Bombyx mori: one gene and its partners. The protein of the gene in region 2 purifies or fractionates together with the protein of the main gene of each other region. This does not show direct contact. Links are inferred from orthologs where the notes say so. Each region holds a gene or a part of one and is shown on either strand. Other genes may lie near its edges. The genes, in order: tRNA N6-adenosine threonylcarbamoyltransferase, EKC/KEOPS complex subunit TP53RK and nucleoporin Nup43.

Region 1 (4,363 bases), on a different chromosome or scaffold from region 2:
CGCTCGCGGTGGAAACCGGGCTTTAATTGTGTAATTATTTTGTAATAGTGTCATAGTTCTAGCGAAAATAGTTTGAACCCTGGGAAAGAGGATGGAAATCCAACCAAGCGATACAAAGTGACCACCGCTGCGAGCGAAAGGACTTACGTCCTTATAAATTCTTAAAAAGTCTTAAAAATCTTTTTAAGCTTCAAAAACGGTTCTTAAAGGTAAAAGAAAATTAACACTACATTATAGTATAAATATTTAATCATCTCGCCACGTAACAAGAACATCATCTGTCCTATATCTTTGTGTAATTGTTGCATCTTTGAAATCCATGCGAGTGCCAGAAGCATGAGCAAGGGCACCAGCATATGCTATCATCACTCCATTATCTATGCAAAATCTCTCATCGGTAGCAAATATCTTAGCCTCTCGTTCATGACACATTACTCCCATCATCTCTTGAAGTCGCTCATTGCACCCAACTCCACCTACTATTAATACCTGAGAAAGAAAAAAACAATGTCGATATATTTAAAAAATCGATAATGTTCAAAGAAAAGTTTTCAATATATAAAAAAATTAAACCTCATCAGAACCGCAGTGAGCCATAGCTCGTTCAGTGATCTCCACTAGCATTGCAAAAACAGTTTCTTGCAAAGAATAACATAAGTCTTCCGGAGTATATTCTTTCAATAATTCGTCAATTTTATCCTCCATGTACGATAGGATACCAGAAAAACTTACGTCCATTCCTAAAAGAAAGTTCAGTTTACTCAAAAACATGTAGTTTACAAAAGTAAATATATAAATACTGATTTAAAGATTCCAAATTCAGCAGCAGATAACTGATTGCAAGGATCACTTTTTTATACAAACTATTTTAATTTTAACACAAATCACATCAAAAACACGACTATCCATATTTGTCATGATTTACATAGATTCATACAGCATGTGATGATGAAGATGTTCAATGCTCTGTTTGCAAATGCAGTAGAATGACACTGCTAAGAGCACTATACAACAAAAATCATACCTGCAAAAACTATAATATGCATAATACAGGTGGTAGTCTCTTGTAATCCTGCACAAATAGGTACCTATCTATTTATGACACAAAGCAATTCCTGTTTGAACAGTGGGGCAGTTGCTGTATAATAAATAGAACAAAGACTTAGAATTTATATTTCAAGATGTTTATGATGATAATATAATATATTTCAAGCTTTAGATTGTTGATGTCTGTGAGCTCTAGTAAACACTTAACACCAGATAGGTCATAACCCCTTTCACCTGAGTAAGCAATAAAAAATCATCCTTCCTATTTCACACAGTAGATCATACCTTAAATCTATTGATAGCAAACAAGCTCCGCTGACGCTCAACCCACGCCCGATCTGCACAGATTCTCGAGTAGTAAATTAAGTAAAAAAAATAATTAACAAACCTTTAACACAATATGGTAAGGGCAAATACTTTTTTCCTTTTTTAGCAGCTTGTTCTATGTTATAACCTGGACTTGGAGCATTAGACAATTTCAAAACTCTAGCAAACCTGAAAAAAGCCTAGTTTAAGTCACATAATTAAAGCAATTAAAAAAATGTTCATAGTGGCTATCATCCCACCTATCTAAGCAGTTGCCAACAGCTATATCAATAGTTTCACCAAATATCCTGTATCTTTTTCTTGAATATGCTATAATTTGTGTATTCCCTCCACTCACATATAGCACTGTTGGATTATTTGCTTTGGTTATCAACCTTCCCATTTCTATATCTGACGTGATTGTTGTAAGAAAAAATAATTGATGATTTTATTTATAGACAGACAAATTTTGTGTTTATTTCAATTAATAGTTTTAGAACTTAAGATTTAAAAAAAATCTGATTTCAAACATAACAATAGCAATATTTTTCATTTTAGTAATTAGCATTGTTAGTTGAATGATTTTTTCAAAAAGGATACGTCCAATACAATGATTTACACCGTAAATAGGTTTTTTCCATAGTTTAGCACATGTTCTGGCAACAATTGCACACACCATCAATGGCGCCCCCATACCAGGTCCTTTGGTATAACAGACAACGTCAATTTCATCTGGATTGAGACCAGACTGGTCCAAAGCTTCTTGCAATACTTCATGAATGTTTTGTTGATGATGCTCCGCAGTTTCTCTAGGAAGAAACCCTGGAAATCCAATTATACTTATACTTTACTTTTGACGGGAAAAAATTGCAAAAAAGGCTGACTTGCTTTCAGCCCATCTGATCTTAAATGGTCCGTGTCACTCTTGGATGTTAACAACTGAAGTTGTATGGAACAAAATACTGTTACGTACTCCTAGTACTAATCTAGCGCTCAACTCAAACAGAGTATAGGAAGTTTTTTCCAAAATCAGGATAGGTCACAAAAAAATTGGTGTATATTTGCTACAAAAAACACAAGCTTCCGTATAAAATACTGTGTAAGATAAACATTATAAAGATAATTTATAATTGTAAATTTACTGAGCTATGATTTAAGCTATAATTTTATTGTTTTATTTAAAAATAATGATAATTTCACCTTCACCGGGTGGGGTTATGTACGTTCTTCTGCAATTGGCCAAGATTTCTCCATCTTTAACTATACCAATTCCCAGTTTGTTTGCACTTCCCTCAAATCCTATTGCTACTACCATTTTTATTCGATTCAATTCTATAATTTATAAGCGTAAACAACGGAGCATTATTTCCTTAACACAAATAGTGTAAAACATAGATTATACACTTAATATGTGTAAAACATAGATTATACATGGTGTAAAAATTAAAATGTAAATATAGATAATAAACTGTACTATTATCTATGATAAATTGATGAGATAACAATTGTAGACTTTTTGGCGGGAGCGCGAGGAGTGAAGTTGTGTGATTTGTTATATTTTGTCTATTTAGTGTTTCTTCAGGTTTAAATGTGTAATAGGGGTGGTTTATTAACTGTTTAATATCTGTGAAAGTGCACAAATGTGGGAAAATGAAACAAAGCCACTGAACTTCTCGGGATCTACCAAAAAGTCCACTGAAAAAGTCTCAGTAAATGACCACCATTTTACTGAGATTATATTTCATCCCAGTTGATTAATGTCTTAAATTAATCATCTTTTTTTCGTTTCGTTTCACTCCTTAATATCATTTTTCATAAAAATAAGAATATAAATTAAAATAGGACATGACTTAAAGGTCTCAGTTACCAGGTCATACACTCTTTATCCCATTTTTAAATTCAATAACACGCTTCCATCGTTGATCTATTTAAAGTCCCACCAAGTTAGCCTAAGCTTATATAGACTAAACATTTAACAGGCCTATGAACTTTTGAGGCTAGAACACAAGACATTTGTGAAATGATGGAATTGGTTAATTTAGTGTTTCAGATTTACAGGTCTATTAAGTGAGACGTATTAAAAAAGTTTCACTTGTAAAAGTTCACGAATCTAAGAAAATGAAAGAAATTCTCTGATCGTGGATTCTGAAAATCCCATCAACGAACTGCGACATTATTTCATTGCATATCAACTTTATTACTCGTTCCATTTCACTCGTATTTAAATCCTAGTATCAATTTCCCTAATGGAATACCTACGTATGTAAAAAGTATTCACGAATTTCTTTCATGATGAAGAAATAACATACTTGCCAAATGAATAATGGTCGTACTGGGTAAAATTACGTATGAATATTTGTATTATTATTTTCCACATTTATTGGTATAGCACAATCATATACATCAAAATCAAGTATAAAAATATTTTAAATTAAGTGCAAAATAAACCAAAGCTTATTTTTATTATGTTGGAAATTTTCATGACTCGGTTTTATTGTCTTCATTCACCTCATCGACGAAATCAGCAAGCATATCTTCGACAGTAATTTCCTTCGTATTTAATATAGCTACATCTTCAGAAACATTGGATGGATCATGAATAACACCATTTTCGATAATCTTTTCATGTGATTTATCAATACCATTTTCTATAGGAATATCATTATCAATATCTTCACTACTCTTGACGTCTTTAATTATATCTTGATCAGCTTTATCATTTTCATCTTGTGAGATAGTAACCTGTTGTCCACAAGTAATTTGTATGTCATCTAAGTCAGCAGAGCTTTGCATATTATCTTCATCCGTTTTGTCTAAGATAGTTATAGTTTCTTTTACAGTGTTAGAATAATCATATCCAACTTCCATAGACAATGGCTCTTCTTGATCATCCACATTTCCTGTTGTTTTGTTCAGCGGCATTTGTGTTTTGGCTTCAAATATAGTTTCAACTTCATTAGAGGCTTGTGTAACAGTTTTATTATTTTTACAAAAATCGGTTATCTCAACA
Region 2 (3,319 bases):
GATAGCAAGGGAAAGAGGAAGCTATTGCAGCTTCATACAAATTGAAAGTAGTAGAAGCCAGGGAAGTTCAGGGTGTCACGACATGTGTCTGAATAAGATCTTTTGCCCACTAACTTGTTTAGTGTTCTGTATTTATAGCACATACATACACATTCCCATTTTACATTATAATATAATAGATATACCATGTTCAACAGCACAGTTATAATTTGATTGAAAACAGAAATAAAACAAGAACAGTCAAACCCAGACTACAAATATTTGTTTATTGAAATACTAGTTCCAACTGGAAATTGAAACCAGCCCTGCAGTATTATTATACTATTGACTATTGTCAGCAGTAACTACTAGACAAACAAGGCGATCATATTCCCTGGTTTAAATTACTTCTTCATTTTACATTTAAAAAAATCCCAATTTTTGTTATCAGCATATATGCTGATGACACTATAACCCATTCCACTCGGAATTTTTAGCCAGTTTACTTTTAAATATGACATATTAAGTACAAAACAAAAATAATAAGTGGTAAAATGTTTTAATAACAACTCAACCAACCATAGTTCTCTTTCTCCCTCTAGCTCTGACTTCTTCATATTTACTGATGATTTCTTTTATATTGCTCTTACTAGAACTTTTGTATGCATCATACATTTTATTGAATAACTCTGGATAGTCATTGTGGGTACTTATTAATGCCCTTTCTAGGACATATAGGTCAACGCCTTTGTCTTCGGCACTAGAGTCAACATATGATAAACCAAAATCAATCATGACCAAATGAAATTCACAGCATTGAATCCAATTATCATTGTCATTTTTCGGTATCAACAATATATTAGAAGTTGTCAAGTCTCCGTGTATAATGTTGGTGTCGTGTAATGTTCGAACAGTTTCGCCAATCATTTTGGCTAGTATGTTCAGGCTGTTTGTTTCATTTTCACTGCCAGTTTTCGTCAAATTTATGATAAAATCTTTGACAGTTACGTTCCGTTCGAAATGTTCCATGTAAATTCGACGACGCTCAAAATCAACTAAATATAAAGCCGGTGTACGAATTCCGGCTGTTTTACAGCGTACAATGGAACGTGCTTCATTTTTAATTCTCTCTTTTGTTATATTTGTATCTAAATCAAGATGTCTGTAATTTTTAACGAACCTTTCCTTGATCAATGTAGGTCTTCCAAGATAATTGCAAATGTACAATTTTGCTTCAGCTCCTTGTTTTAATATCTTCAAATCTTCAGTCATTTTGTAAATATAACCTATAAATTGTTCAGAATCAAATTGAATTTATTATGCGTTTCCTTATGATTAACCTTCCAGAATACACTTTTCGCTATCATTACTTACCTCAATGAACAATTATAATTAATTATTAAAACTCTGAGGTATGTAATGAAGCTACTGTAAATAAACAGAGAAGGTATTACTTTGTTGAAGTTTGTTGATGAACCATATGACAAGATATTTGTCATCGTTACTTGACAATTGACATTATGAAGAATTTATCAAACTTAGCACGGGCTACCTTAAACAAAATATTTAAAACAGTCTACAAGAAAATAGTAACTAGAGACAGCCCTTGCTTGTTTGTTATTTGTAACTTTGCGTCCACATTGAAGAAAAAACTAACCTGATGAGGTTTTCTCATTGAAGCAAAGAAAATATTATAAATATAAATTTAACATCTTGTGCAGAAGTGTGTAGAATACAATTTTCCGTAATTTTTTTTTATAGTTAACCCTGATATTTTTATAGTGAAAACTTTGCGGGTGTGTGTGAATCTAAACTAAGCCACCATACTCATAAAGTGTGTAGGTACCGAGCAAGGAAAAACATGGAAATGGTTACCCCAACCAAAATGGCCATCGGCTCTTATTTATAAACGATAAGGAACATAACATAAGTCGTGGAATTGTACGAAAATAAACAAAAAATATGTAGTCAAGCTAATTTACGTAAAATGAAATGCAGTTCGTAGCGAATGTCGAATTCGTCTTAAGTAGACGGCACCTTTCATGACTTTGGTATTGGAACGAAACATTCTATATATACCTACCTACTTATCGTCCTGCTGTATATGTACTTATGTGATATGTACATATTACTGTGCATAATGCAGCTAGATAGAGAGTTGGAGGCTGTGGGCGTGAATCGTGAATTGTACGCAGTGCCGATCGGCGGCACCACGCGTTAACTTCGTATATTTTATGATAATAATAATTTAACTGAAGGAACGGTGATTTATACGATTATTTTCGTGCCGGTTCGACGTTCAACCATTCCGGTGGCTGTTAAATATTAGTTATCGAACACAAGTGTCCGTTTGATGCGACATACCGAACTGAAAGACTGTACTCTGCTGTGATCTTAGTAATTCGTGAGAGCAATGTCGGAGGGTTTGGAATACGAAACTATTGTGCAGAATGGACCTAGAAAAGTGAGTAACCACAAAAAATTAATTCGGTGGCGAGCCTGCCAAAAATGTAAACGTCCTGATTTACATACACAATATTTATAATCGATTTAGATTATTTTTTAACATTACAAAAAAATAAGTACCTAGGATCTTCTTTTTCGTTTTTTTTCCCTTAATTTGGTAGGTACTAGATTAACCTCAAGTAGGCAATAATGAAATATTGAAAGGAATACAATTTTCCCCGAAAAATCCTTTTTTAGGATATTTCTAATTCGAAAAATATTTATGAATAAATACTTAGATTTTTATTGCACATAAATTAACCGATGCTGAGTGATTCGGTACTAAACTTTTTATTAAAAAAAGGTATATTACATTATTTACAAAGAGAAAAGTGATCTCAACACGGCAATAAATGTGGATATAGCCTCTTCGTGTTAGTGCAATGTAAGTACATAACTACAAATGTAGGGCTGTGGTAGGGGGATGAAATGTCCTATAGAAATGTCTGGGCGCATTTTAGCATTGATATGTATGCGTGTAGGATGAAGACGCGCCCACAACCGTCATACCATGGCCCTCCCGTTTTAGCGGGCAACGGGAAATTGCAGACAGATTTTATGAGAACGATTTTATTAATTAATTAATGACGTCACGCTACGTCCTTGATACCGAACCGTTGAAAAATAAAAAATATGTAAGTGTTTTTTTCTTAGCGTAAGTCTTGATTATCTAGTATGTTTTTTTTGTGTAAGTATTTAAATAATTGTTTAATGTATTTATTAGAATATGTACATACGTGTTTGAGAATATAATTTATGTTTCAATGCACCTACCACTATATCCTCTGCAGTATCTTTGGTTGATTTGTCGATATATTGTCGATACGTTGTATAA
Region 3 (4,156 bases), on a different chromosome or scaffold from region 2:
ATGAGGTTGTGTTGGATGATTAATGATGCATGTCGCAGCTAACTCATCTCCAGCTAGTAAGAATGATGCAGCGGGTTTGTCTACTTCAGATCGAAGGTCCCAAATTTTGATGTGGCCTCGAATGTTACCTGTTATAACCTGTAAAAATACTTTTTTTTATTGTTTCTTATAAATATATACCTTGTGGTAAAGCCAGCTCTTGTTTATAGTTTCTTATAATAATAATGAACATTTTATTTTCTTTGATAAAAATGATTTTTTTGTACTCGCTGTTCTATTGACTATTTGTAAGTAATATTTATTTGTTGATCTGTTGTATAGGCAATGAAAACATTTATCAATGAACTTTATCTTTTCTTTACTTTTATTTAGTTTATAAGAATCAGAACAATATTTTTTTTTTTACTCACAGCTCACAGCCCACCTGATGTTAAGTGGTTACTGGAGCCCATAGACATCTACAACGTAAATGCGCCACCCATCTTGAGATAAAGTTATAAGGTCTCAAGTATAGTTACAACGGCTGCCCCACCCTTCAAACCAAAACGCATTACTGCTTCACGGCAGAAATAGGCAGGGTGGTGGTACCTACCCGTGCGGACTCACAAGAGGTCCTACCACCAGTAATTACGCAAATTATAATTTTGCGGGTTTGATTTTTATTACACGATGTTATTCCTTCACCGTGGAAGTCAATCGTGAACAATTGTTGAGTATGTATTTCATTAGAAAAATTGGTACCCGCCTGAGATTCGAACATCGGTGCATCGCCTCAACACTTATGCACCAGACGTCTTATCCATTAGGCCACGACGACTACAAATAACATACGACTACAAATAAATATGTAATAACATTTTATATGTAGATTTCAATTTTGTATGGGAATCAGGAATAAGATAAAAAGAATTTCTGAGTAGTCCATTCAGAGTTGATAAAAATATAAGCATGAAAAATTAAAAAAAAAATAACATTTTTTCTGTAATGAAAACTAATTTTATGATTTACTGTCTCGCATTTTTATTGTAAATTAAATTATTTTTATTAACCATACAAGTAATTTTTATACTTGTCTTTGAATCGCTATGTCTGTCTATGATGTGTGATGTCTATGACTGTGTGTATGTCTATGAACCGAAGAAAACATCATTTGATTTGGTCATTCTATATTTAAGAAAACTAAAACTTACTCTCTGTTAATCAAAAAGTTAGAGATTAAGGATTTACCTCTGTGTGTTTTAAATAACAAATGGAATGCAATGAACAGCTATCAGCCCCTTTGATTGTACGGTTGACTTCACCCCTTCGGCCACTCAATATGTTCACATTGCCATCCTCACCAATACTAGCTATGTCTCCTTCATATGTATCCAAAGATGTTGCAGAGCATTTTGTATTACTGAAATAAAGCATTTGTTACGAGTTAAGAATTAGTTATGTGTGCTATTTTCAAATAATTCAAACACTTATCAGTCATTTCCTTTTTTTTTAAAAGAACTGAATGTGTAGCAGTTTTCTAGAAAACGACATGATTGGCAGCTTCATAGGTAGGAATATTACAAAAAGTACACAATTATACATTTTTTTCTTTGGTGGTTACAATATCAGGTAATAAAACTTTGATGTTTCATTGTAACATTGGTGTAGATATTTTGTGGTATTTATTAAAATTCTTATATTAAAAAGGCATAAAATTCATCTTCAAAATTAGAAAAAAATGAACAGAAATTGTTATTGTTGATAAAATATTAGATATAAATTGTTGAAAACATTTTATAGTATGTTTACTCAAATAAAGTAATTTACATCTTAAGTTACTTGATGATAGAATTGGTAATTAATGATTTGCTGACTGGTAGAATGCATTGAGAGTGATATGGATAGCTGGCTCGATGTTTGGTGTGTGTGCCTATTGTTACCATGCTGTGCCAAAGCAGTTACAACATAACACCTGACTTCAGTATGCTCTGGTTTTCGTGAATTGTAGTTTTAACTGCTTTAACCTTTTAGTAGTTTAAAAAAAACTAGAACCTCACCCGTAGTTATGTAAAGACTTCCAAGAAAATATTTCTTTAAGTGGTGTTTGTTTATCATAAGCACTAATTTCAAGTATTTTTACATCACCATTAGATATTGAAACGGCTATTTTGTTTTTTTCCGTGAATTTTATTTGTGTAACATCATCATCTACTGGATACTTGGTAAGGGCACGAGGATATTCTACCTCTTCGTCTTCGTTAACACTTTCAAAAGTCCAAACTGTTATTAAGTTGACCTCATCATCCCAACTACCGGTGAGAAAACATTTTGTTTCAGCATAATCTTCAGGAATCCATCTGACTTTATTTATTTTTTGAGAAACAAACGTTCCTTGAATATCTATTGACATTTTTGTATACAAATGGGTCATAAAATGAACAAGAACACAACAGAAGATAAATAAACACACTTCCCTGTTTCTGGACTTTCTGATGCTTTTCTGTGCTGTAAAAATTTTTTTAAAAGGATTTTATGACCAGGTAACTAAGACCTTTAAGTCATGTTTTATTTTAATTTTAAGTATTATTTTCATGAAAAATGATAATATGGAGTGAAATGAAATGAAATGAAGATTATTAAACTGAGACATTAATCAACTGGGATGAAATTAAATTAAATGATATGAGATGATATGGGATGACATAAATCTCAGTAAAATGGTGGTCATTTACTGAGACTTTTAAGTGGACTTTTTTGAGGATCCCGAAAAGTTACGTCCAGCGGCTTTGTTTTATTTTCCCACATTTGTGCACTTTCACAGATATTAAACAGTTAATAAACCACCATTATTACACATTTAAACCTGAAGAAACACTAAATAGACAAAATAAAACAAATCATACAACTTCACTCCTCGCGTATATATTTATGTGTATACCCATAGACATTTAAACCTACCGTTCTATCATTCATTAGCGTTAACTTTTTTAATGCTTTTTTATTATTTCTCGAATATATTAAGTGTATAATCTATGATTTAAGTTATTTAGCCAATCAGAGTGCACTTGGATATCTTTATCTTTTAAAATCACAGATGTTGAAGATAACAAATTTTTGTGTTCCTGCTTTATTTAATGTGAATATCATAGCTGTAACTGTAAATCACTCTAGTACAATTAAATTCAAATTGAAATTTTCTATCCACCTTCACTTTTTATTCAGACTATCATTTTATAACCATGGATGACGAAGTTGTTTTGCTGCCAGCAAAAGCCGGTGAATTTATTGCTAGATATGCCAAGCATGTACAGATACATGAAGAAGGATTAGATAAAGCATGTAAAGAGGTAAACTTTATTTAATTTATATTGTAGTTCCAGTTTAATCTATTAAGGCTAATAGTATTAGAAAAGAAAAACAATAAACATGTTAATCTTTATTGCATACTGGTTTGAAGGGTGTAACAACCTTAGACTTTATGTTTCAAGGTATGTGACAACTTTTGCATTGTGACATCATAAGATGCAGTAACTAACATTTAACATCATGTGGGCTGTGAGTTCATCCTCAGACAAAGGGTAAAGGTAAAAAAAAATAGTCTTAGAACTTCAACTAATAAACATTAATTTACAGTTACTCACAATCAAATTATATTCATTGTTTATAGATACTCACGTCAATTTCTACAAGTAAACTGGAAATCCCTGATGCAGGAACAGGTATACATCCTAATGTTGAACACCCAAGGGCTGTGGACTGGGTGTTTGTTGCGGACACGTTAAACTTCTGTTTCTGGTCATACAGTGGAGTTCTGAAATGGACTGTTGGTGGACATTCTGGGTATTATGCTTTGGAGGCTGCCCTTGATAGAGCAATTAAGGTATTTATTATAATAATGTAAATTGAGTGCTCAGATATCATTATTGCACTGTTAGACCTTGTCAAAAGCACATTTAATTGACAATAATAACAACAGTATTCTTTATTATGTATAAAACAAGCATTATTTTTAAAGAATACTGAATTTAAGCTAAGGACAAAGAGCAGTTATAAAATGAAAGCTGATATGTATATTCACTCTGTTTCAGGAAGGTTATGATATAACAAACCCAGAATACTATTCGAAGATAACTACAGAACAACTAGAAATGATAATGAGAGGGGATAATGAAGCTAA

Evidence for each region.
Region 1: the proteins of EKC/KEOPS complex subunit TP53RK (region 2) and tRNA N6-adenosine threonylcarbamoyltransferase purify together in Homo sapiens (affinity purification with mass spectrometry; 5 studies listed by BioGRID and IntAct, counting the BioPlex papers as one, with this or other methods). This does not show direct contact. The link is inferred for Bombyx mori from reciprocal best matches to the Homo sapiens genes TP53RK and OSGEP.
Region 3: the proteins of EKC/KEOPS complex subunit TP53RK (region 2) and nucleoporin Nup43 purify together in Homo sapiens (affinity purification with mass spectrometry; 3 studies listed by BioGRID and IntAct, counting the BioPlex papers as one, with this or other methods). This does not show direct contact. The link is inferred for Bombyx mori from reciprocal best matches to the Homo sapiens genes TP53RK and NUP43.

The regions. Positions count from the first base shown.
Region 1 is NC_085117.1:15,245,475-15,249,837, reverse strand, and holds tRNA N6-adenosine threonylcarbamoyltransferase, read right to left. Parts: upstream 2,841-4,363; 5' UTR 2,669-2,840; coding exon 2,554-2,668; intron 2,176-2,553; coding exon 1,954-2,175; intron 1,765-1,953; coding exon 1,614-1,764; intron 1,543-1,613; coding exon 1,436-1,542; intron 741-1,435; coding exon 574-740; intron 490-573; coding exon 247-489; 3' UTR 232-246; downstream 1-231. Other genes in the region: proline-, glutamic acid- and leucine-rich protein 1, read right to left, coding at 3,832-4,363. UniProt on the Homo sapiens protein: Component of the EKC/KEOPS complex that is required for the formation of a threonylcarbamoyl group on adenosine at position 37 (t(6)A37) in tRNAs that read codons beginning with adenine.
Region 2 is NC_085126.1:11,106,329-11,109,647, forward strand, and holds EKC/KEOPS complex subunit TP53RK, read right to left. Parts: upstream 1,909-3,319; 5' UTR 1,637-1,908; intron 1,580-1,636; exon of another isoform or gene 1,354-1,579; intron 1,266-1,353; 5' UTR 1,252-1,265; coding exon 550-1,251; 3' UTR 523-549; downstream 1-522.
Region 3 is NC_085111.1:1,602,285-1,606,440, reverse strand, and holds the start of nucleoporin Nup43, read right to left. Parts: upstream 2,900-4,156; 5' UTR 2,785-2,899; coding exon 2,712-2,784; intron 2,485-2,711; coding exon 2,037-2,484; intron 1,400-2,036; coding exon 1,228-1,399; intron 139-1,227; coding exon 1-138. Other genes in the region: queuosine 5'-phosphate N-glycosylase/hydrolase, read left to right, coding at 3,219-3,326, 3,647-3,859, 4,068-4,156. UniProt on the Homo sapiens protein: Component of the Nup107-160 subcomplex of the nuclear pore complex (NPC). The Nup107-160 subcomplex is required for the assembly of a functional NPC.